3 linked regions of the Yarrowia lipolytica genome follow. The protein of the gene in region 1 purifies or fractionates together with the protein of each later gene. This does not show direct contact. Links are inferred from orthologs where the notes say so. Each region holds a gene or a part of one and is shown in the gene's direction. Other genes may lie near its edges.

Evidence for each region.
Region 2: the proteins of YALI1_E05390g (region 1) and YALI1_E07306g purify together in Saccharomyces cerevisiae (affinity purification with mass spectrometry; 9 studies listed by BioGRID, with this or other methods). This does not show direct contact. The link is inferred for Yarrowia lipolytica from reciprocal best matches to the Saccharomyces cerevisiae genes RRP6 and MTR3.
Region 3: the proteins of YALI1_E05390g (region 1) and YALI1_B19567g purify together in Saccharomyces cerevisiae (affinity purification with mass spectrometry; 11 studies listed by BioGRID, with this or other methods). This does not show direct contact. The link is inferred for Yarrowia lipolytica from reciprocal best matches to the Saccharomyces cerevisiae genes RRP6 and RRP43.

Annotation. Positions count from the first base shown.
Region 1 is NC_090774.1:535,369-544,031, reverse strand, and holds YALI1_E05390g (uncharacterized protein), read left to right. Parts: upstream 1-5,004; coding exon 5,005-7,281; downstream 7,282-8,663. Other genes in the region: YALI1_E05416g (uncharacterized protein), read right to left, coding at 1,357-2,340; YALI1_E05403g (uncharacterized protein), read left to right, coding at 3,717-4,676; YALI1_E05353g (uncharacterized protein), read right to left, coding at 8,106-8,663. UniProt on the Saccharomyces cerevisiae protein: Nuclear-specific catalytic component of the RNA exosome complex which has 3'->5' exoribonuclease activity and participates in a multitude of cellular RNA processing and degradation events.
Region 2 is NC_090774.1:727,052-734,141, forward strand, and holds YALI1_E07306g (uncharacterized protein), read left to right. Parts: upstream 1-3,608; coding exon 3,609-4,397; downstream 4,398-7,090. Other genes in the region: YALI1_E07302g (uncharacterized protein), read right to left, coding at 163-3,210; YALI1_E07347g (uncharacterized protein), read right to left, coding at 4,866-7,090.
Region 3 is NC_090771.1:1,953,108-1,960,299, reverse strand, and holds YALI1_B19567g (uncharacterized protein), read left to right. Parts: upstream 1-3,530; coding exon 3,531-4,499; downstream 4,500-7,192. Other genes in the region: YALI1_B19602g (uncharacterized protein), read right to left, coding at 1-74; YALI1_B19576g (uncharacterized protein), read right to left, coding at 1,738-2,673; YALI1_B19520g (uncharacterized protein), read right to left, coding at 4,659-6,998, 7,063-7,192.

The DNA of each region.
Region 1 (8,663 bases):
ATTCTGCGAGCAAGAAAGGCTTAAATTAACTAATCAGGTGAGTGATGTAGATACTAACTCCTGGAAATGGAAAAATATTCAATTTCCCACCGCCTTTTGTCTACCGGAAACATGCACATCAATGCCAAGAGGCCAAGAGCTGACATCAAGTCTGGCTCCGATGCAGCCAAGACTCTAAATGAATTGTGGCTCTCTCTCAACTGCCAACTCCACCGAAACCTTCTGACTCCGACCAAGTTAAAGGAAGCTTTACTGCGCCAGACTCTGGTACGGAATGTTGAGGTAATTTGTCTTCAAGATAGGACCTGCAGAGCCCCAGGAAGAATGAGGTGTGAACGGGATTTTCCAAGGTCCTTTAGCTAACCGAGCATGGCAGTAATGACGCAAGATTAGCGAGCATCAAACAACCGTCTCACTTCGAGACAACCAGAACAGGCATAATCTCCCGCTATCATTGGCTGTCAGATCATGCTTCACAGGAAACCTACATGATGGTAGCATCGGCAAGGTGGCATCGAAGACCTTCATGTGCACGCTACCATTTCGAAAAGACATGCCAAGACGAGACACCTCGTACCACCGCTTAGAAGTGAACTGGTAAGACTTTCAAGGACTAGAGAGGTGCATGCGTCTCATGAAATAACTCCTCTAAGGACCTATGCAGGCTCTGATTACCCCTTGTTTTTTGTATAGTTACAATTACTCGTACTTCTGTCTGTACCGGAAGTGCTACAAGTAGTACTACAAGTAGTATGTACTCGTGCTATCGAGACGCATTGAGTTCGGCAGTTAACGGTTCCTTCTGTAAACAAAGAGGATCATGCTTCCCCCGAGTAATTCAGTGGGACCTTCATTGCGTACGCCCTCATTGTTCCAGCGGACCTCAAGAAGAAGTGGATCTCCTCCAAACGCCTATTTTGATAAACCTCAAGGGTTGGTGCTAAACTGGCAGGTTAAATTTCCTGGAACTCTACGGAATTCATTCCCGATAACCGTCGGTTCATGAGATAGCTGGACACCTAATGTTTCAACGGTTGCAAGAGGCTGAAAATTTCATTGGTTTTGATTCGATATGTATTGACAGTACTTATGCGGAACGGGCCGTCCACAATATCTCGCACGAGTTATACATGAACATGGCATACGAATGCTCAGCCTTGAACGAACACTTCGATCGTATTCTCGGTTGCCATTCAATATAGTTCATACGGCTCTAAAGGTGAAAATTACCAAGGCATAAACAAGCCACCCATGCTCGAACGCTACGAATCACATGTCTTGCTCGCACATTCTTCAGGATCTTCCCCACAAACTGAGGGGTATGATGGTATTGCTAGACACAGCTAAAAACAGCATTTAATAATCTCCTGTGGAACCACCCCATTTGAATAGACCCCATGCAGTGCTGCCTGAGATCTTTGTGTACTCCTGAACACCCTTGTCACCGTCAGCAGCTCCTGCTGAGAAGTAGAAGGGAAAGAGATGTTCAGCGGTGGGATGGGCAGCTGGTCGGTGAGGGTTCTTCCAAAGCTCTGAAAGGTTTTCCAGATTTTGCTCATCAGAAACAGGCACACTCGTGACATTCTCTACCACGTCCTTGACAGCATCTTCAAAAGGCTGGGAATACTCGGGCTCTCCACCATCAGCAAACTTACGTCGTTCTCGAAGATTGTGAACTGACATACCGGATCCAATTATCCAATATCCCTCATCTCTCAGAGGTGCGAGTGCCTTGCCGAGGTTGTAGAATCTCTCAGACAGCTGTCGAGGACTCAGATGGTCCACGTCGTCACCTGCAGGTTCTGAAATATTGATGATGGGGAACTTGAGGGCACCTTTTTCCTCACCAGCTTCTTCAAACATAACTCTGGAAGCGACCCACACGCCATGATCCCACTTCTTGTCACTTCTCAATTGGGCATAGTAGCCAGGGGTGTTATCAATAAGTTTGGCGATCTTCTCAGCAGAGGCATGGTTGCCCTTAGCCCAGAACTTCTCCTCATACATGTGGGCTGGGAAATTGAAGAAATCGTATTCGAGGTTGGGGTAGTTGTCGTTTTTGTCAGTCACAATTCCCACGGGAATACCCTTACCATTGACCTTGGGAAACTCGTTGTTACCGGTACCCTTGGGGTTCTCGTCCTGCTGGTTCGCACTTTCCCAGTGGGCCGACATAACAATAACGCCCTTGACAGAGTCGGGATTCTCCTTGTGTTTCTGGATCAGATCTCGTCCAAGATGTCTGAGATAGTCAAAGGCTCCTTTATCTCCTCCAGGGTGATTCTCGTACATGAAGGTGGGGCCTCCATGAGGAATGAAGTAGACAGGTGTGCGGGCCATTTTTCTTGGTATTGTAGAGTCGGATAAGAAGTTGTAACCTCATTAGAGACGAGGTCCTACTAATATATAGTGTTCGTCATAGACGGCCCCAAGCCACAATGAAGCCATGGCCAACATGCCATATGCACGGCGCGAGCTAACCCCACATAAAAGTAGATCGATTACCAATACATGCTCCTGTTGTCGCTATTACTTTTAGAGGGGAATGAAGTTTCGTGTTAATGATCCTAACCAAGAGATAGTGCGGAACCCAGTTACGCTGAGTGGAGGAGTTAACCGATGGAGCATTATTCACGCAAAATTGACCGTGACGTAATTAAAGTGCACGACTTCGAATGAAGTCGTGCACTTGGTCAGATTGATAAAATGCTCAGGCATGAACAACAATGCGATGTTGCTATCAATGTTAACAATCAGATAACCGGGTGCACCAAAGACAACGAATGAACATAGTACTTGTGCGTTCGTACACGCGTCGTCATGCATATGGGCTTCTGGAAAAGGGCTTGACTCAAATTTAGTAAGCTGTGACAAAGGAGGCAGCCTCCTTTCAGGTATTGTAATCACGAATGACTGCTGAGTCGTAAGACACCGGTGATATTAGGCAATGGGCCGCTAATGTTTAAGAACAATATATCCAGGGTGTGATACACGGTTACGATAGCCAAGCCCGTACTATCTCTACAGTGGTTACTCCATTTATGGTGTCGTCTGTAGTTCACTGTATAATCGCCTCCTGCCCATACAAATGCAGTATCGATATGAAGGAGTCCAAATAGGGCACTTGTAATTATTCGACGTGTTTGAGCCAAAAGCCCTCAATAACAATCTGCCGCAATTAGCCGGGGTCTGTCACACTTGGTGTCTTCGCCACCTTCGCGATACCACCCTCGTCACCTTTTTTGACTTATATTATAAGCTCTCAGATATTGCTCGTGGCGATCATGCACAAATCTGAAGTACAGTACATACACTTATACATGTGGCTTCAAGTGATGATGCCGTTGATGATTACGCTCCTTGATTTTATGTAACGTCCACCGTTTGAGATATATTGAAAACATATTCGCTGGTAACCTCTTTCTACCTGTAGTGTTGCTCTGTGCACGATAGCTGTGTCCTGTTGGATGAAATAGTTTCAGTATCAAACTCCGTGTTTCTTTACTGTAGTTGTAGGGTTAGGACCCCTTAGTCATGCATGCCATTTCCATCACATATCGTGCAGAACAGGAGGATTTGACTTGATTTACGCCATCTTCACTCATTACGCCGAGAGGAAGAGCGAAAAGCCTTACAACAAGTAACGGGCGGTTAACACAACGTGGCAAACACTCAACATAAAAGCATTTGATTAGGAAGTTGACGTGACACAGAAAATGGCAAACGACAAAGACCAAGATGGGTTCTTTCCCAAGTATCAGCAGCCCTCATTTGTCCTGCGCATGTGGGGCAAACTGGTACCCGCGGCCGATAACAAATATGCACTTACCATTGTATGTGCTGCTCAGATGGGTGTGGGCGTCTTGCTGCTAGCCTATCCGCGGAGATCAACTTTCAGGGCCAAATACGGAAAGTGGCCATACAGAGCAGTCAAGGCTACAGGCATCCTCACTGGATCAGCACTCATCGGCTGCACCGCAATATTTGATTTGGCACGCACGAGAAACCTCACATACGACCCCTGGGCCCAGCGAGCTCGTGCAGACCGAGTCAAGGCTCTGAAGGAAGGCAAAAAGGTTACATGGTGGTGGGGAGCTCACGATCACAAGCCTGTGGGTATGAACGAATACATGTCCGAGCTACGGGTTCTCTTGGAGATTAAGAAGATGCAATACAACAAGAAGAAGCTGGCGGATGTCGCTGAGAGTGGTTTCAAGCCCACAGAGCCTCTCCTCTCGTCTGATCTCTACATGGACGATATTTTGTGGAAGTACGTGCTGCCTCGAGTTTTCCCCGATGAGGTTCCCATATCCCCCATCTCTCGAAAACTTACAGAGGCCATGTTCCAGTCTCTGGGTCTCACATATGAGGAGCTGGTGGCTGCAAACCGAAAGTTCCGAGAAGGAGTGCTGGAGCAGGTAGAGAATCCTCTGTTTCTTGCACACCGGCCATGGCTGTTTGGAAGCTCTAGCAGCATGGATGCAGCCATCAAGGAGGTTCTTGGAGAGGGGTCCAACGACCCAGATATCCTGGAAGGTCTCTACAATGACATTGCAGAACAATGGGATGGATCCATCATGTGGGGCATCATTGCAGGAGAGACAGATGTGACCATTCGTCTGATTCCTGGAACCGATATCGTGGAGCTGGTGGAGGAGGCTGAAGATGAAGAATAGATAACTGGGTCGTTTGTATGAGCACCCATTGTACATAAAAGATTCGGTATAGACAATCTAGCTAGACGACCTACAAGTAATACAAGTATGCACGTCGTAGAACAGCACAAGCAGTATAGTAGAGAGAGATTTCGGTGGTTGCACCAAAGAGACTGACAAAAAATAAAAAAAATCCGCTCGTCGAATAGAGTAGGACGGATAAGAGAATACCTGTCTATCACTTCACCATATCCGCTGGACCCTCCAACTTCAAGTATAGTATGTACCGTATTACTACCCGATTTGTGTTAGCTAGCCCTAAACCTAATCGTAAATTATTTCTCTGTATATGCATCAATTTTCCAACAGCCTATTCCCAGTCCATTCCCATCACCACAACACATACAAGATGGAAATCGATAGTGTTGTGCGACTGGCCCAACAGACTGCCAAGGCTGCCCGTGGTCTTGCTTCGCACGACATCAAGTTCTACAGCTCTATTGATGACAAGGTGGCCGACAGCGTGAAGGAGAATGCATCACAGCTCATTGGAGTGGTCAACCAGCTGGCCCAGAAGATTGCCCCGAACGAAGTGGGATCTTTTCCTCCCGAGCTCGACACTGTGAACCGACACTGGAATGAGTTCTCGTCTGTTGTCGATGACCTGTACGAGAAAACCGACATTCAGCTCGGAAAGCTGAACAAAAAGGGAGACAAGGTTGAGATTGCCGAGTCCAAGAAGACTGGCCCTCAGACGCTCGGAGAGAAGATCCGAGTAGGAAATGCCATTCAGTCATCTAGCGAGATCAAGGGGCCGCAATGGAAGCCCCAGGAGATGTGGGAGGTCGACAATTCGAGAGACACTCCCTTCAAACCCAAACTCACCTCGAAACCAAATGCTCTGGAGCCCCTAGAGGACGCGTTCGAATTGGTGACTGAAGATGACAGACGAGATCACTACCCACAGCCCTACGCCAAGGAGATAATGGAGCAGCCCTACCCAGATGAGGTGTACGAGGAGACAGAGGTCATTCCTAACCGACCATGGGAGGCTGAAGGAGAGGATGAATACATCTACGTTGACACAGAGGAGAAACTCAGAGACATGGTTGACCACCTGAAGACCCAGGAGGAGATAGCCATCGATGTCGAACATCATTCCATGCGAACATACTACGGCATCACATGTCTTGTGCAGGTTTCCTCTCGGGAGCAAGATTACATCATCGACACCATCGCTCTCCGAAACCTCGAGATCTTCAATGAGGTTTTGACTGACCCCAAGATTGTCAAGGTTTTGCATGGAGCCACTATGGATATTCAGTGGCTCCAAAGAGATTTCGGTCTGTACATTGTGTCTCTGTTCGACACCTTCCATGCCGCCCAGGCCCTTGGCCTCAAGGGACACAGTTTAGCGTTCCTTCTCCAGCATTACGCCAACTTCGTCACTTCTAAGAAGTACCAACTCAGTGACTGGCGAATTCGACCTATGTCGCCTGAGCAGCTTCTCTACGCCCGAGCAGATACCCACTTCCTGCTCAACATCTACGATCAGCTGAAGAATGCGCTCGTGCAGAAGGACAAGATCGAGGGAGTTTTGGAAAAGAGCAGACAGACTGCTTCCCAGAGGTATGAGTACACCGGCTACGACCCAAGGTACTATCTCAAGTCGTTCGACTACGAGGGAGGTATCAATCGTCTCATTTCTCAGTTCCACATCACTGGGCCTAGTGTCTCAGTCGCCAAGGCTCTTTTCTTGTGGAGAGACAGCATGGCTCGAAAGGAGGACGAGTCTACTGGCTACGTGATGCCTAACTATCTGCTCGTTTCACTTGCCAACCGAATGCCTCAAACGCCCGAGGCTGTGTTCAGTGTATCCAAGTCTCTCCCGCTTCTTGTTCGAAAAAACGTTGAGGAGATTCTGGACGTCATCAAGGATTCCAAGGACGAGCATGTTGAGGTAGAGCAGGTTGAGGAGGAGCCCGTCCTCGCTGCCGAGTCTATTGAGGGGGCAGAGTTTTCTGAAATCGCAGAGGTCATCTTCCTGGCAGCCCAGGACGGACAGTCAGATATCACAGGCAAATTCGACTCTTCCAAGTCGTCTATTGTACATGTAAAGGAGACTGCTCTAGGTCCTCTTGGTGTTTCCAAGATTGATAAGCATATGATGGTTTTGGCGGTTCCCGTCGCACCCCTATCTGTTGACTCTACTGAATCTGATAGCGAAGTCCAGAACGCTGAGGAGGAGGTCAAGGTTGAGCAGGATGCCGCTGCTGACGACGAGTCTGATTACTCTGAAGATGAGCACGAGCATGCCAATGATATCATTATTGCCAAGTCTAACAAGAAGTACACAGCTGACAAGGAGGCTAAGAAGGGAGTAGCAAAGGAGAAGTCCGAGGAGTTCACTCCGTTTGACTACTCTGCTGGTGCTTCTATTCTCAAGTCCGACGATCAGAAGGCCGCCGAGAAGAAGGCTGCCATGACTGCCCGAAAACAGAAGGCCAAGGAGAAGAAACAGTTTAACCCCTACGAAATAAAGGAGGATGCCAAGGGTGCTTCTAAGCGACGAGGACCCAAGGATGGAGGTGCTCGATCAGTCCAGTACAAGAAACGGCGTACATAGGCAACAAACAACTTAAAGTACTCATGGAGTATTAAAATATATAGATTGTAATATACGGTGGATTTGATGTCATGTTTTTAAAGTGGGTGAGAGAAATATCAATGTTCGTAGCCCTTGTGCTTGTCCCAAGTTGGCCAGGGGTGTAATAAACAGAATAAACAGCCCCTACAAGTAGTCATTATGAGATGGCCTGTAAAATAATTCAAAACCCCACTTACAGTACATACGGTAATTACAGTGGGTGCTTGTTAAAGGAAACAACTGTTGTAGGGGGTCGCGAGAGCTCCATGTCTGCCGGGACTACCATGGCGACATGTTTGACTTTCAGATGGTTTCATTGTTACATTTCTAAAATGCAACGGCTTGCAACTTTACTTGCCATTGGTTTTTCTACTGTTTCAGATTCTTCTGGTGATTCCTCTACAAAACCATTCTCGTCGTAGATAAACCTCTAGTATCGCTATTCCAGCGGTTGTTGAGTTGTCCAGACAAAACTGTGGCCAATCAAAGGGTCCATTACTAACCGTGCTGCACCTTAACTCACTTTCGCTTGGTCGTTTTGCCACTGTGGCAAAGTAACTCCACACAGAGAATTTAGGTCCATGAGAACAAGGCCAAAGATATCAAAAAGACACAAAGAAATCCACACCAAGCAAACGTGGTTATGGGTTGAGCGATTTGCCAAAATACAAGCTACAATATGTCCTTTTGAATGTCTTCGCCTCCAGTAGATAATGCAGGTCCTGCATATTCAAAAGTCTATCCTTCTCGTCTAAGGCGGAACATTGCTTCCCTAACCCCATCCAACAAACCCATGTGACAGGTCACTCAACACTATTCTCACACCTTCTAGACAACTGAAAAACAACACATTGACAATGACTCGATTCTGCGACACCGTCAAGACACTCATCAAGGAGCCTTCCTTCTACCAGTTCACCGGCACCGTTGCTGGCTACACTCTGTTTGCTGCTGCCTTCCCCGTTGTTGCTGCCATTCACACTGCTCGAGGCGTTGCACTCCTGAAAAACAAGTCTCTTGAGAGCTGCGAGTGCGAGAACAAGCTGGCCAAGAAGTTCGACATCTCCAACATCACCCTCAATGAGTGGTACTCTCCTATCACCCTGCTGTTTCCCCTGTTCAAGCGAGTTGTTGAGCCCCTCGGACCCCTGGCTGTCATGTGGGCCCGATACACCGGTCTTGTCGGTGAGATGACCGACAAGGAGGTCAACTGCGTCTTCAACTGCTGGGCGAAAATCTCTCTCGGATACATCTACGTCACCGGTGCCATCTGCTTCACTGGTCTCTCTGTGTGGTCTTACCGACGACAGACCCAGCGACACATCAAAAAGCAGAGCATTGTTGGTGTTCCCGAGGTCACT
Region 2 (7,090 bases), about 190 kb from region 1:
TCACGTTCTACGAAAGACTACAGTATTGCACCGCTTGTTTTTGCACAACCGTACTTATCATACTCTGCTGATCCACCGAGTCATTGGTAGTACTGCTTCCATACAGCTCATCTACTCATTAATTATATAGTCTAACACCTCTAACGATCGCCAAAGAGCTCTCTAAAGATGGAGACAAACATAGGGGATATCGTCGACATCCTCACCGTCCTGGTCCTCGGCACAAACCTCAAAGATCAGAGTCTTAACGTGAGGCTCGAGCTTCTTCTTAGTGACGGCCTCCACCAGCTCGGTCAGAGTCAAATCGTACTTCTCGTTGAGCTTGGCAGGAGGGAAGAAGGAGGCGTACAGGAGAGACACGTTCTGGGACAGCATGGTCACCGTCAGGTTGTAGTTCTTCTCAAAGAACTCCAAAAACTGCTTGAGAGTCAAGTTCTCGTGAATGTCGTATCGACCCCAGATCTTGTCCAGCTCGACACCAGCAATCTCCATCTTCTGCGAAGCAATGGGCTCAGAGAAGCCCAGAAAAGGCAGAGCGAGATTGACAAAGCCGTTCTTGTAGTCCTCGATCACCTCTCGCTTGTCCACCACCTTGTAGAGCTCCAGACAGACAAGACCAGTCACCAGAGCAGTGGTGGTAGCAATAGCGGGAATGATTCGTCCAGCAATGAACTTGGTCTTGTGTCGATCAGCGCCGTCAATAGCGTAGTTCTGAGCTCGACAGTTGGAGGCAGCCGTGATGAACTGGATGTGGAAGTTGGTGTCATCGTCCTTCTCAAACTCAACGGGAGTGAGTCGGAAACCAGCCAGAGAAGAAGGAGGAGGCAGCGAGTTGGCCAGCTGGGTCAGCTCCTCGGAGTCGGCATCCACAGGGTCGACGCTCTCGTTCTCGTTGGCCTGGATCTTAATACCGGACTTGGGTTCAAACTTGGGCACAGTCATGTTGTCCACAACTTCCTTGTACTCAGAAACATCAAGGTCATCACCTCGGATACCGTAGTTGAAGGCTCGCAGATTAGCGCCAGCAATGAGAAAATCCAGATGGTCCTGGTTGTTGAAATCAAATTCGAGAGCGTCAGGAGCTCGCTTAGGTCCAGACCAGAAAGGAGCACCAGTAGAAGTGGTGGCGTCCTTGGGGAAGTTGTACAGAAGCTGACTAATGTCGCCGTTGAACTTCTTCTCAAACTCCAGACGGGCCCACTGGACACACTCCTTGAAAGTCGTAGGTCGTTCGTCCACCAGGTACGACTTGATGTTCTCCAGAATAGACTTCTGGTCACCAGTCTGCTTGAGGGTGGACTCCACAAAATTGGGCTGGCTCAGAAACAGATTCACAGACTCAACATTGTCGGTAAAGTAGCCCTGGAAGATGGATTTGGCCCAGGCAATCGTGTGGTCAACCTTATTAGGGAAAGATCGCAGAGTACAGAGGGGAATGCCCTTCTCAGGGGGATCCTGGGAGGAAGAGTACGATTCAGTCAGGTTGGGGTAGACAACCTGCACGTTACCCTTGGTTCCCAGGGTTCCTGACTCGAGCAGAGGCTTCTGGAAAAAGACACATCGTCGATCGACGTAGGTTCGGGCGTCAACGTTGTCCAGAGCGTTAGTCACAAAGTCCAGAGACTTCCAGAACGAGTCGTCGAAGATGTTCTCGGTATCGGGACCGACCTTGTCGAGCTTGGCATCAAAGTGGCCCTTGAGATCAGGGTTCATCTCTGCCACAGCCTCGGTAGCGGTCACGGACTTGTGTTTGCCCACATCCTTGGGTCGGAACAGAAACTGTCGGTTAAGGTTGGACTTCTCAATCACGTCGTTATCGGTCACGTGGATCTCTCCGTCCTTTCCAAGACCCATGAGAGCCCAGTTCTTAAGCATCTCGCAACCGATGGCTCCAGAGCCAACCAGGAAAGTCTTAACAGCAAAAATCTTCTCGGTGAACTCCTTACCAAAGACGGCAACCTGTCGGTCATATCGCGAGCCGGTGGGAGCCACAGACTGCTCAGTTAGAGCCACGTCCTTGGGCAGAGACTCCAAAGAGTCGAAGTAGACCCACTGTCGGATGGGGCCAAACTTGCCCGAGCAGCCCTTCAGTACCTCCTGGGCAGCCATTCCACCAAAGAGAGCAGTCATGGCGGGCAGTTCACCAGCGGCCTGGAAAGACAGCTGGGTGAGCAGCTTTTCGTCGATTTCGCCTCCAGAAAGCACGTCGGGGTACTCTGCAGTGACGCTCTTGGCCAGGTGCAGCACCTCGTTGGCGTCCTCGGTATTCTGAGGTCGGGGGGCTCGACCGTGCTTCTGCTGGAACGCCTGGACGGCCATGAAGCCGACATGTAGCTGTGCGGGTCGCTCCATCTTGGCGAAGTCGGAAATCAGTAACTCGGGCTTGGCCAGCTGCTCCTTGAGCGAACCAAACGAAATCTCCTGGGGCATCTTGACCTGGGTGAAAAGACCTCCCTTCTTGTAGGTGCCCAGACCGTCAACAGAACCAATATTGAACGAATAAGGACCTGTGACCTTGATCTTTCGGGGAGTGTCACCGTTGATATCGAGACCCTCGACCTCAGTGAACTTAACATAATCTCCATCCTCAAGGTTGTGTCGAGTCTCATCGAGAGCAGCAACGTTACCCTCCTCGTCAATACCGGCAATGATTCCGGAATGGGGCTCCTCTCCGTTGGCGTCAATCAGAGCAAAAGATGAGCCAAAATCGACAAAGATGTTACCGAAAAGACCTCGGGTGTCTGTGCTGACAAACCCAATATTCTGCTTGTGTGTGATTTCGTTGACTCGAATCTGTTCTTCTAGAGAAGCATTGGTCAGCACAACCACCTGGAATCGAGCCACCTCCTCCTCGGAGAGATCCTTGGCCTCCAAAACGTGCACAGGAACGTACGAATTGAGCTCTGCCAGTCGAGGCTGAGACACCTGGTCTCGTCGCTTGCCCACGTCGTCCTCTCGCAGGAAAAACTGGGCACTGAGATCTGCAACCTCGGTCTTGCCGGGGTCATACAGAGTCAGCGACTTGACTCCAGCCAGAACAATGTTCTTGGCAATCTCAATTCCCAGACCCTGGAGACCCACGATAAGAACGTTGGAGTTGGCCATCTTCTTCATGGCCTCGTGTCCAAGCACATAGAGCTGTCGCGAGTACAGGGACTCATCAATTTCGCCTGCGTTGTCGATTTGCATCTTGTCTGACTTGTCTGACATTGCAAAAGTGGTAGTTGTGTAAGTGTAGATTGAACTGTGGCAAGGAATCGTGTGGAACTAAGTGTCGTCAACCTTGATGTTGGGTTAGGGTAAACGGAGATAATGTGGAGCAATGAATAATTGAGGACATTATATATAGAGAAAGGGAGGTTTGGGTTTAAGGTTGAGTCATAAGGGCCTTTTAGTTGCTTACCAATTGATTTGCTATCTTCGTTTGCTACATGTTTGTCGTATTAGAAGTCTTTAGTCAGCACCACCACGCTGTATCAAAATCAGGTCACCCGCAGCTTACGTAATTAGCTATCTACCAAATAAACTTCGCTCCCAACGCTAACCACGCCTGCACCAACATCGTGCAGAAATTTATTTGTGAGTTTCACTATCAACCACACAACACTATGACTGACCGAAGACGAGTTTTGGGGCCTGCTGACGCGGTGCCATTCACCCTGGACAACATCAAGCCGACCGAGGTTGAGCAGAAAAGCCTGGATATCGGCAGCATCTTCGTCAAGACCGGAGTGGTCGAAAACGCAAACGGATCGGCCTACTTGGAGCTGGATGATATCAAAATTGTGGCCATTGTCCATGGTCCTCGACCTATGAGAGGTCTGTTCACAACATCGGCCATCCTGAACGTGGACACAAAATTTCTCCCTGTCTCTCTCTGCGATATTGAGAGTAAGAGTGCTGTGGTTAGCTCCACCCAGCTGACCCAATACATTCGATCTGCCAGCACCACACAGAGCTCTTCTCTGCAGAAGAACGTTTCATCGTACGTCCACACCTCTCTCCTGCCCAGCATATTGGTCGAGAAGTACCCCAAGTCCACCATCGATGTCAGCATATCAGTTCTGTCTTCTTCCAATAATACCAAGACCACCGTGGCTGCCGCAGTTTCGTGCGCTGGCGCCGCTCTGGCCGATTCCGGTCTCGAGTGCACCGATATTGTGACAGCAGGAAGTGTGCTGCTCGATGAGAACAAGGCAACTGTGTCGCCCTCAAGAGCACCTACCAGCGAGATTGACGGAGTAGTATCCTACATGGCAGCAAGCAAGAAGATTGTGGGCATGTGGATTGAAGGCGGTAACGTGAGCGAGAAGCAGATGGAGGAGATTTTCGACAAGACCGAGGAGATGGCCCGGGAGATCAGAGGAGTCATGCATGGAGTTTTGTTGGAGCAATAAGGAATGACTGGAATGAGTCTGTGAGCATGCGTGGAAAACTTAGTGGCACAACATACTGAGGGTGTCATAAGTATCCTCACCGATAGAATGGTTCACCGACCACGTGAATGGAGGAGTGCACAGAGTCATACAGCAGCTAGGGTGCTTGATGTCGCGTTTAAAACACAACCAACCAAACTACGGGTACATAATATTACATAGATAACGCATTGAACATTACATGTTACGTAGTTGTAAGTGTCAATTGCGGTCAATCAATGTACTGTCATCACCATTCTATCTACTATAGACCCCTACGTCAAGGTCTGTAGCCCGTGGCCCAGAATTACACGTCACTCGCAACTCTGGTTTGTGCTCTTCACTTGATCCGATATTTGTTGACACACACACACACACACACACACGTTCTTCCAGATATGCTCTCTGCAAACAATTTTCAATCTATTCATACATATTCATTCTCCTCCTTTATACAGTAAGACCTTTAAGGGCGTCTCTAATTCTGAGCAGTCGCTCAGCCAAATTCTCCACAGACTCATCCGATTGAAGCACCTCCTGCGCCAGCTCAACGTTGAAATACGCCTGAACGGCAGCCTGCACTCTGTTGATCACCTTGGGTTCCTCAAGAGCCCAGTAGTCGTCCACTTCCTCAGGAGGGAACTCCATAGATAGAGAGAAGCATCGCTGGACGATGGGGAGGATCTCAAGAGCCAGAGTCTTTGCATCCACCTCTCCAGATAGATCAATCTTAGGAGCCACAATCTCGAAAGGTTCCGAGGTGCTGAGCACAGTGTGCTTGCCAGCATGGTGGTATCTGAACTCGTAGACTCCACACTCCCAGAAGAGTGTGTCCCCTCGGAAAACAACTTCTCCATTGGTCTTAGAAGACGACACAATACCGTCGAGATGCGACTCATGGCCAGTCTCGTCGATTCCAGACCATCGGCCCTTGGAGGGAAGAGAAGTCACCTCAGGGGAAGTGTTGTCGTGCACTCGGTACAGACCGATCCAGTCCTTTGCCGATCTGTTGGGAGAAGCCTGCCACTTGACATGAATGGGGGTTCCAAAGGCGTACGAAATTCGGTTGGAATCGGCACACTTCTCGCCGCCCACGAGCTTCACAGAGTAATCGGCAGTGTCAATGTTTTCGGGAACATCCAGCATTCGAGTAAGGGTAAGTTTGGCAGGGTACTGTCGCAACAGGATCTTGGAGTCGTTGACAACTTCGTTGAGAGTAGGCTTGGCAAGTCCAATGAACTCCTCGACCACAGTCAGAGTATCGTTGATAACCTTGTCAACGGATCCCTGGAACTGTCGAACCCGTTTCTCAAAGGGAGAAGGCAACTTGAGAGAGTTCTTAATGGTCTTGGTCACACCAGCATCGTGTCGGATACTGGTACCGTAGATTCGCTGCATGTGGGGCTGCTCGACGAACTTGATGAATGCCATACCCTCCAGAGTCCACAAGAAGGCCAAAATACCAACACCTGGAGAGTTGGTCATCAGAGCAAGACCCCAGATGCCAGCAATACCGAAAAATCGCTCTGGGTTGTTGAGGTATCTGTAAATGCCGGAGTAAGTGAGGTTCTGCTTTCGGTCAAGGAAGAAGTCACCGTAGAACCATCCAAAATGCCCAAGAGAGTCATGGATGGACTTCGATGTCCAGCCATGCAGAGCAATAAGTAGAGCGCCAAGAATGTACTTAAGGGGCCACAGAGGATCGGTGGAAGGAGCTCTCCACTGTCGCAGGCAAAAGAGACCAAATGTGGTGTAGGACAACACGGTGGAGACGTTGTACCACACTTGCCACTGCTCGTATGCCTCAAAGGGGTAGATTCCAAACTTGAGGAAGGTCTTGGTGAAGGATCGTCGCTCGGACTGTCGTCGCAGTATGACTCCAAGACCCAGAGTGTGGAAAAGACGAGCAGACAGAGCCATGAAAAAAGTCACAGTGTACCACAGACGGTTGGCAGGGAGGAAGTAGAGCAGCATTGTATAGACTGCAGCTCCCACAGTCATGATATCTGTGACTCGAGTGATCTGGAAGTTGCTAAACACAACCAACGGAGGAAGGGAGTGTTTCTGGACAGTCTCCGGCTCGTCAAAAGTAGTAGAAATGGGAGTAGAGGCAATAGAAACGGACTCGTCGCCCTCAACAATAGCAGACAGCTCATCCTTCTGTTTCTGATCGAGCCCCAGCTGGATGGAAGATCGGTCTCGGACGTGAGAAGCCTTTCGTCGCTGCTTGGGCTGATGGGGGTTGTAAGTCTTTTCAATGTGAGGATTCTCAACGATGGATAGGAACACAAACTGGGCAGCGTGGCCGGCCAGAGAGGCCAGGAACAGGGTGTAGGAACAGGCCATGAGAGAGGCGGCGTAGAAACCAGCGTATCCAATGGAGTACATGGGATGAGGGGCCATCTCAAAGACACCATCAAAAGTCAACTCCATGTCCTTGAGGAAGAAGAAGTCTCCCCAGTACCAGGCATAATCCTTGACGACTCGGTGGGCGTCAGTCTTAGCCCACAGGTTGAAGGCTAGCATTAGAGCTCCGGCGAGCCATCGTCCAATAACAAGCCACCAGGGCTGGTTGGTTCTCACGGACAGAGCGCAGGACCAGGCCAGCATGAAGTAGCAGGTAAAGTCTGACATGAGAATCAGATCGACCACATGTCGGAAAAGAATCCAGGTGT
Region 3 (7,192 bases), on another chromosome or scaffold:
GTGTCAACAAAATCGTCCATGTAGATGGCCTTCAAAGCCTCCGCCTCGTTTTCTTGCAGTTCCTGTAACTCCATCTGGTCTATCCAAACGGAAGACACCAGGCATGTGTTTTCAAAGACGGTTAGTTGGTAAGTTTGTTCTGAGCGTTGCCAAATGCTTATGCCAGACGACTATTATTTTGAATTGGGTTTGTTGAGCCGCACGATGTCACGTGTGTAGGGTGGATCCGGAGGAACTAAAAGTCGGAGTAATGGCGGTGTTCAATACGTTGTTTGAGAGATTTCAAAGACCAGATATGTTTATTATATCTGCTTAAGTTGATTCTCTTACTGATAGACCACTTACACTTCCCGTATGAAAAACTTACACCGTTTCTGTATTTACTCCCCCATACTGTCGTTTAGATCTACTGTAGAACTTAAACTGACGCACCCCCCTCTTGCTGGATATATATGCAGAAAAAAAAAAAAATAACGCCACTATCATTATCGGTCATATCAGGCGGTTTTCAAAAGACAAAAAAAGGGGTGGGGGAGGGAAAATAACAATGAAATGATCGTGAGCTGTAAATTGACGGTACTCGATAACCCAAATTCGACGGTGTCGCCATGACAAACACGCCTAGTCCCCTCCGAAGCTGAGGCATTTGTGTTCACCTCCTTTCTCACCTGTATTTCGTTATCGAGATTTCAAGTACTTGGAGCTACTTTTGGACCGTGCATACTTCACCAAACTACAACTACAATGCAAGTACAGGTAGCATTATGTACATACTGTACTCGGACCGTTACTCGTACCGACACTGTGTGTAGGGTTACGTCGTATACACGCTAACTAAGGAAAAGATCGAGATATTGGGTAATCCTACTTTGTTTAGTCTCTACACGGGCAACTTCTGGGGTCGTTTATTGTCCTATTCTCTTGGAAGGAGACGCTACTTGTTCTTCGTTCAGATCTAAGCACTGTCATCAGCCATACGAGCAGTCTAAGAAACTACTGTAGTTATACTAACGAGGTTGATGAATTCAGTAGACACCGGCGACTATTGAGTCTCATATCTTTTATTACTCGTCCATGTACTTTGATCTCCCTCACAATTTTCTCCCTCAGTTCCACCGAAGGTTGAAGTTGAGCTGCATCCTTGCATAAAGATACAGATCGAGAAATATCCCAACAGGATGATGTACAGTAATGTTCAGTACAAGGACTGGTACAAGTACATGATGTAGTCGGTTATATTACTTCATGAACGTCAGAGCAAGCCTCAAGATCTTCGTTCATCCACTGCCAGTACAGTAGGAGTAGAGGTAACTACTTGCATACATACCTCTCTACATACTGTAGAGGTAGGTATGACCAACCAATGACAAGCACTTAGCCTAAAAAAAGAACACTACAAAAAAATTGCAGCACCTACTGTAGGATTCTCGTATGGTCTCCCACTACAATACTAACTAGGCTCTCTGGTGCTTGACTATGGCTGATCGGACGGGAAGCCGTATTTTCACCAGGATATGGCTGCAACTGGCCGGTAACTCGGCTGCTTAGTCACCGTTGCAAGGTCATTGTGTAACCTTGGGAAATGTAGAATAAAAATAAAAAAACTAGTAATGGATCATAAGAATAAAACAAAAAGCTATACTTGTACCTGAATGACTAGATTATACAGTTATGTGTTCCCTCGATTTTACCAACCATGGATTCATTATATTTCATTTTTATTAGTCTAAAATGTGCTTAAAGCTCATGATCGTAAGGGATACCCTCAGCAGCACCTCGTCGAGTGACAGCAATACCACCAGCCTTGTTTCCGAAAGCAATGGCCTCGGAGACTGTCTTTCCCTGGATAATGCTAGTGGAGAAACCTCCAAGGAAAGTGTCTCCAGCACCAGTAGTATCGACAATCTTCTCGACCTTGTTAGAAGGAACATGTCCAGAATCAGTCTTGGTCTTGTAAATGACACCGTTACCTCCCAGAGTGACAACAACGGCCTCCTTGATTCCCATCTTGAACAGGGTATCCGCAGCTTGGTCAGCTTGTTTCCAGATCTCCTCCTTCGATGCCTCCTCGTTGATTTCGACGCCAGAGATGAGAGTGGCTTCCGTCACATTGACCACGAGGAAATCTATGCTGTTGAGAACGGCGGCGGGGATGTTACCTCGCTCGTCCACAGGACTGGGGTTGTAGACCACTTTGGGCTTCTTAGATCCAGCCTTCTCGATGGCCTTGTAGACGATGTCGATGGGGATCTCGTTCTGGAAGATGAGCATGTCTGTGTCGAAGAGATCGTCAGTGAGATCGGCCTCAGTCCACTCGCCGTTGGCTCCGGCGTAGACCATGATTCGGTTCTCTCCAGAGTCTTGATCCACAAAGATGACAGCCACTCCAGACTTGGTGTCGAGCTCGTGGATGGCAGACACGTCCACGCCAGAATCCTTGAGGTTGTTTTTCAACTGAGTACCGAAGTTGTCTTTGCCGACCTTTCCGTACATCTTGACGTTCACATCAGGGACCTTGGAAGAGAGTCTGGCAGTAGCAAGAGCCTGGTTGGCTCCCTTACCTCCGCAGTGGGTCTCAAAGCCCTGGGAGAACATGGTCTCCCCAGCGTTGGGGAGTCTGTTGGAGATGGTGACAAGATCGTAGTTGAGCGAGCCGACAATTGTGATTTGCATGGTTGGTGATTTGGGGTCAGAAAGAGAGTTGTAGTTAAAGATAGGTGTTTAAATGAAATGTTTTTCCGAGAGTGAGCAAGGACCAAACTCAGGGATGCAGATGAGATGTGAGTGATGGAGGTTTAAAGTCTAAAATAGCACAGAGAGGGAAGAGTGACATCATAGGGTGCGAGCTGGAAAAAAAAATCAGAACATTTGGTTACTTGAGCGTTCTAACGTTGCAATATAAGACAGGTGATTCTATAAGTACATGTTAAGTCACGCCATGCACCCCACATTCTGTACAAGTATGTACATCCGTAACCGGCAGCCCATCGCTGGTCACTCCCAATAGCCGAGGAGTCATGCGATCACGTGGCTGTTTGAACATGAGAGTGACAATGTTGTCGTTCAAGGTATGAAATAGAGATGCCAGATATCCAGACCGGGCCCAAAAAGAACTGTAACAGCTACCGCCCTTGTCTTTATATTTCATAAGTGTCCTTTTTTTGCATAAGAGTCCAACGATGATGGCCCTAGACGTTCAAACTAAAATCCCACAAGTTTCAACTACTTCTTTCAAGGTTACTTGGAAAAGGTATTGTAATAATGGAGATATCTGAGAGCAGATTTCGAGTTTTTTGTTGTTGTTTTTTTTGAATAGACACATTCCAAGCACCCTCGATATTTTTATATTTTTTTGATCTCGGTTCTTCCGTTTCAATGTCAATATTATAACCATCATGTTGTTCAGTATGTACAGTATGTACACCCCTCACCTACACATGACGAGCCACAACTAAGTTTACGTCGAAAATATATTTCGTATCATGCACAACGCCTGAAGAATCTTTAATTTACACTGAACGACACACAACATGACGAATATGGAGCCAATCACATACCCTTCGGAGGTATTTTCGAGACTTGTGCCCGATCTATATCTACACAGACATCTCAACCAAGGATTGCGACCAGCTACAAACCGAGCCTTCACACAACACCGAAAGATCAACCACTTTTTGGGCGGTCTTAAGAAGCCCGTGGGATCCGACGAAAAGTCTGCGTCTCTGGTTTGGGGCTCTTCGTTGATCCAGGCCGATGGAATGAGTATTGTGTGTGGTGTTACCGGATCTGTGTCTGAGGAAGAGGGCGGAATCTTTGTTAACGTCGAGGTTCTGCGAGGAGCAAACGGAAGCAGTGCAGCAATGGGGGGGCCTCCCAGCGACGAGGAGCAGGTGGTGAGCCGAAAGACTACCGATCTGCTCAAAAAGGGCATTTTCTCCTGCAAGGCAAACAAACAATTCTTCGAGCTCCAGAACTTTCTGAAGGAGGGACAGGAAGACGAGGCCGTGTTTGACGCTGGCCAGCACCAGAAGCGATACCTGTGTTTGCATGCCAATGTGACTGTCCTGAGTCGTAACGGACCTGTGCAGGACTACGTATGGGCTGCTGTTCTGGCTGCTCTGAAGGATACAGAGATTCCTCTGATGGAGATTGATGAAGATACCGGACGAATCACTCTCACCCACGACTTTACCACAATTCCGGTCGACGACCTTGACATTCACAGCAGTCGGTCGTTCGGGTTCATCAAACCCAAGCCAGAGACTGATGCCTACGAAGACGACGAGATGGACACCTCTGAAGATGCTGCCAGTGTGCTGTTAGCAGATGTCCAAGGAGAGGTTGAGCAGGCTGCCACTTCCAGCACCCGTGAGGGCTCTCGGCTGCAGATTGTGCGTGGCCGGGAAGACACGCTTATTGGATTTTCTTTTGTGGGCAAGGGTACTGGAGTTGGACTCAACGAGATTAAGAACGCGTTGGATCTGTCGAAGCAAGAGTAGATGGATATAAGCATGTATAGACTAATTGGCGGAACTAATGGTACTATTGTATTGTGCTTGTGCTACATGTAGAAGAAGTCTATAGAATAGCATACGAGTGCAAACACTCGCGGATACAGTACTTGTTTTAGACATGATAAAAATACATTACTGGTGCTATCAATTGAGGTATCCCTTGCAGCCAGGTGCGCCACACAGACAGGGAATCCTCTCTTCTCCAATCTCCTTTTCGAACTTGTAGTCATATGTGAGCTCCTCGTTGGCAGCAATGTCCCGCGAGGCATAGATGACGATACGTTTTTGACCCTCCACCTTGATGATTTTGGCCGTGCAGCTGGGGGTACAGCAATGGTTGATGAACCGAGCAATACCTCCTCGCTTTGTGGCGTCCACGACAGTGCTTTCATCAACTCTGAACAGATATGAAGATCCGATACCTGACCTCATGTACCGAGCTTCTCGCAAGTCGGCAATCTCCTGTCGCACAACTTCTCCGACGTACTCGATGATCATCTCGTTGGCTGCAATGGGCTCAATAGCATAGAGACCCCAGTTGTGGATAGCTGAACGAGCGAACTTGACAGGCTTCTTTCGCTTTCGCAGCTGATTGAAGTTGAGCACATCGGTTTCGGTGGACAGCAGCTGTTTCTGCATGTTGATGTCTGCCACCAGCCTCCGGTTGTTGGCACGGTTAACTCGCGAGTTGGAGGCGTTCTCCTTCTTTTTCTCTCGGTTTTCCATTTGAAGCGTGTCGATGGGGATGTTGAGCTTCTTTCGGTGAGGCAGGTATTCGGATTTGGCAGCCTCAGGGATCTTGAAGTATCCCTGAGACTTCCATGAGCCAGTGGAGTTAACAAACGCGTTGGGAGCAGCCAGTTCGGGGAACTCTGCGTTTTCCTTGGCTACAGCCTCGTTGAGATGTTTATGGGTCCACGTCCATGCTTCTCCGTTGATCTTTTCAGGCTCAATACCCTCCAGGGCCTCCTGGAGCAACTCCATATCTTCGTCGTCCTTAACCAGCGCCTGGAAACCTGATATGGTAGTCAGAGCACCACCCTTTTTGTCGGCTGTTACAGGTTGAGGGAAACCGTGAGCAGGAGCCCAGTCGAGAATCTCGCCGAATGCAGTTGTAAGTTGTTGGGAAGTATCGAGAGTCGATGCTTCTTGGAGTTCCTCCTGCGCAGTTTCGTCCTCTTCTTCTTCCATATCATCCTCCACTTCCTCCTCTTCCTCGGACTCATTCGAGCCTTCAGAACTGCTGAAGTCCATAATTCGCTGCTTGGACTGACTGATCTTCTTGCGGGGTTTTCTAATAGGAAGTTCGGCAGCGTCAGCGGAGGTATCAGGGACAATGGGAGTCGACATTCGAGTGCTGTCTTCCTCATCCGAGTAGTAGTCGTTGAGAACGTGGTTCATGGGACGAGCAGATATCTTCTTTCGGTTCTTCTTGGTGGCATCCTTCTTCTTGGTCGGATCACCCTTTCGCTTGATTTTGAACCGAGGAAGGAAACCTGGGATCGCAGAAGACGATTGCACAGGCTCGGGAGTATCTACTCGAGCGGCACTGGCGTTAACAGTGTTGGGTTCAGTAGCGGCAGATGGCTCAGGATCCTGCTTGATATGAGTAAATCGAGCTGGATTCAGAAACTCCACAATGGCTGCAGCAATTACCCGCTCCCGAATATCCTTACGGAGACTATTGGCCAACTCCTGTACGATGAGTTTCCGGGCCTCTTCCTTAGGAGGGAGCTTGGGGGCCTGCTCGGTGGCGTTTTCCTCGCTCTCTTTGGTCTTGGGAGCAACTCGAGAAAGTCGAATCATAGCCATAGCCATCTGGTGGCCATTCACCTTTCTGCCATTCATGGCCTCGTAACATTCTACAGTATCCCTGTTGTTGTCGAAGAAAACGTAGAAACCATCTCCTTCCTTGAGAACATCAAACCAGCCGAAGTCACGCAGAATCCGACGAATATCAGATGCAAACACTTTTTCTGACGGTAGGTACTTACCAGCAATGAAGATGTATGCGCTGGTTTTCATCAACTGCGCTGCCTTTGGAGATGGCCGAGCTGAAGGAACAGGTGTGGGCAGTTTCTCCATGATGGACTTGTCTGCAGCAGGTGCAGTAGGAGGCTGCTTGACAGGCATGGCTTTCTTAGCTGCTCGAGCTGCCACTCTTTTGATGATATCCTTGGCCTTGGCTCCATCCTCATCTGGCTCCACTCTGTACTTGGCCTGGTCAATTCGTCCTGTTTTTTGGCCTCGGATGGCCTTTTTGAGGCACTCATGGGCGGCCTCGTAATTGTTTTTCGTCACCTTGAATCGAACCAGACATGCTCCCACTGAAGAACCTGTAGCAGGGTCCTCTACCATGTTGACGGCTTCAAGCTCACCATATGTCTTGAAATGGGCAGTGATAGTTTTAGAGGTAGTTAGTGAAGAAAGACCCTTGACAATGATCTGAGTTGATGGAGGTGGTGCGATAGAATTTGCGTCGTACTGTGTTAGTTAGTGATCAAAAGGAAAACCTCCATTGTGCTAGATTCAATCGCTTCATACTCACCAGAAATCTGGGCACCGGTAATCTCTGATACGGCTTTTTGTTGGACTTGCTGGAAGTCTTGAAATAATGCGGATGTTTGCTTCGAGGATCCTCAGTTGTGGATGCTCCTTTTTTGACCTCCTCATAAATG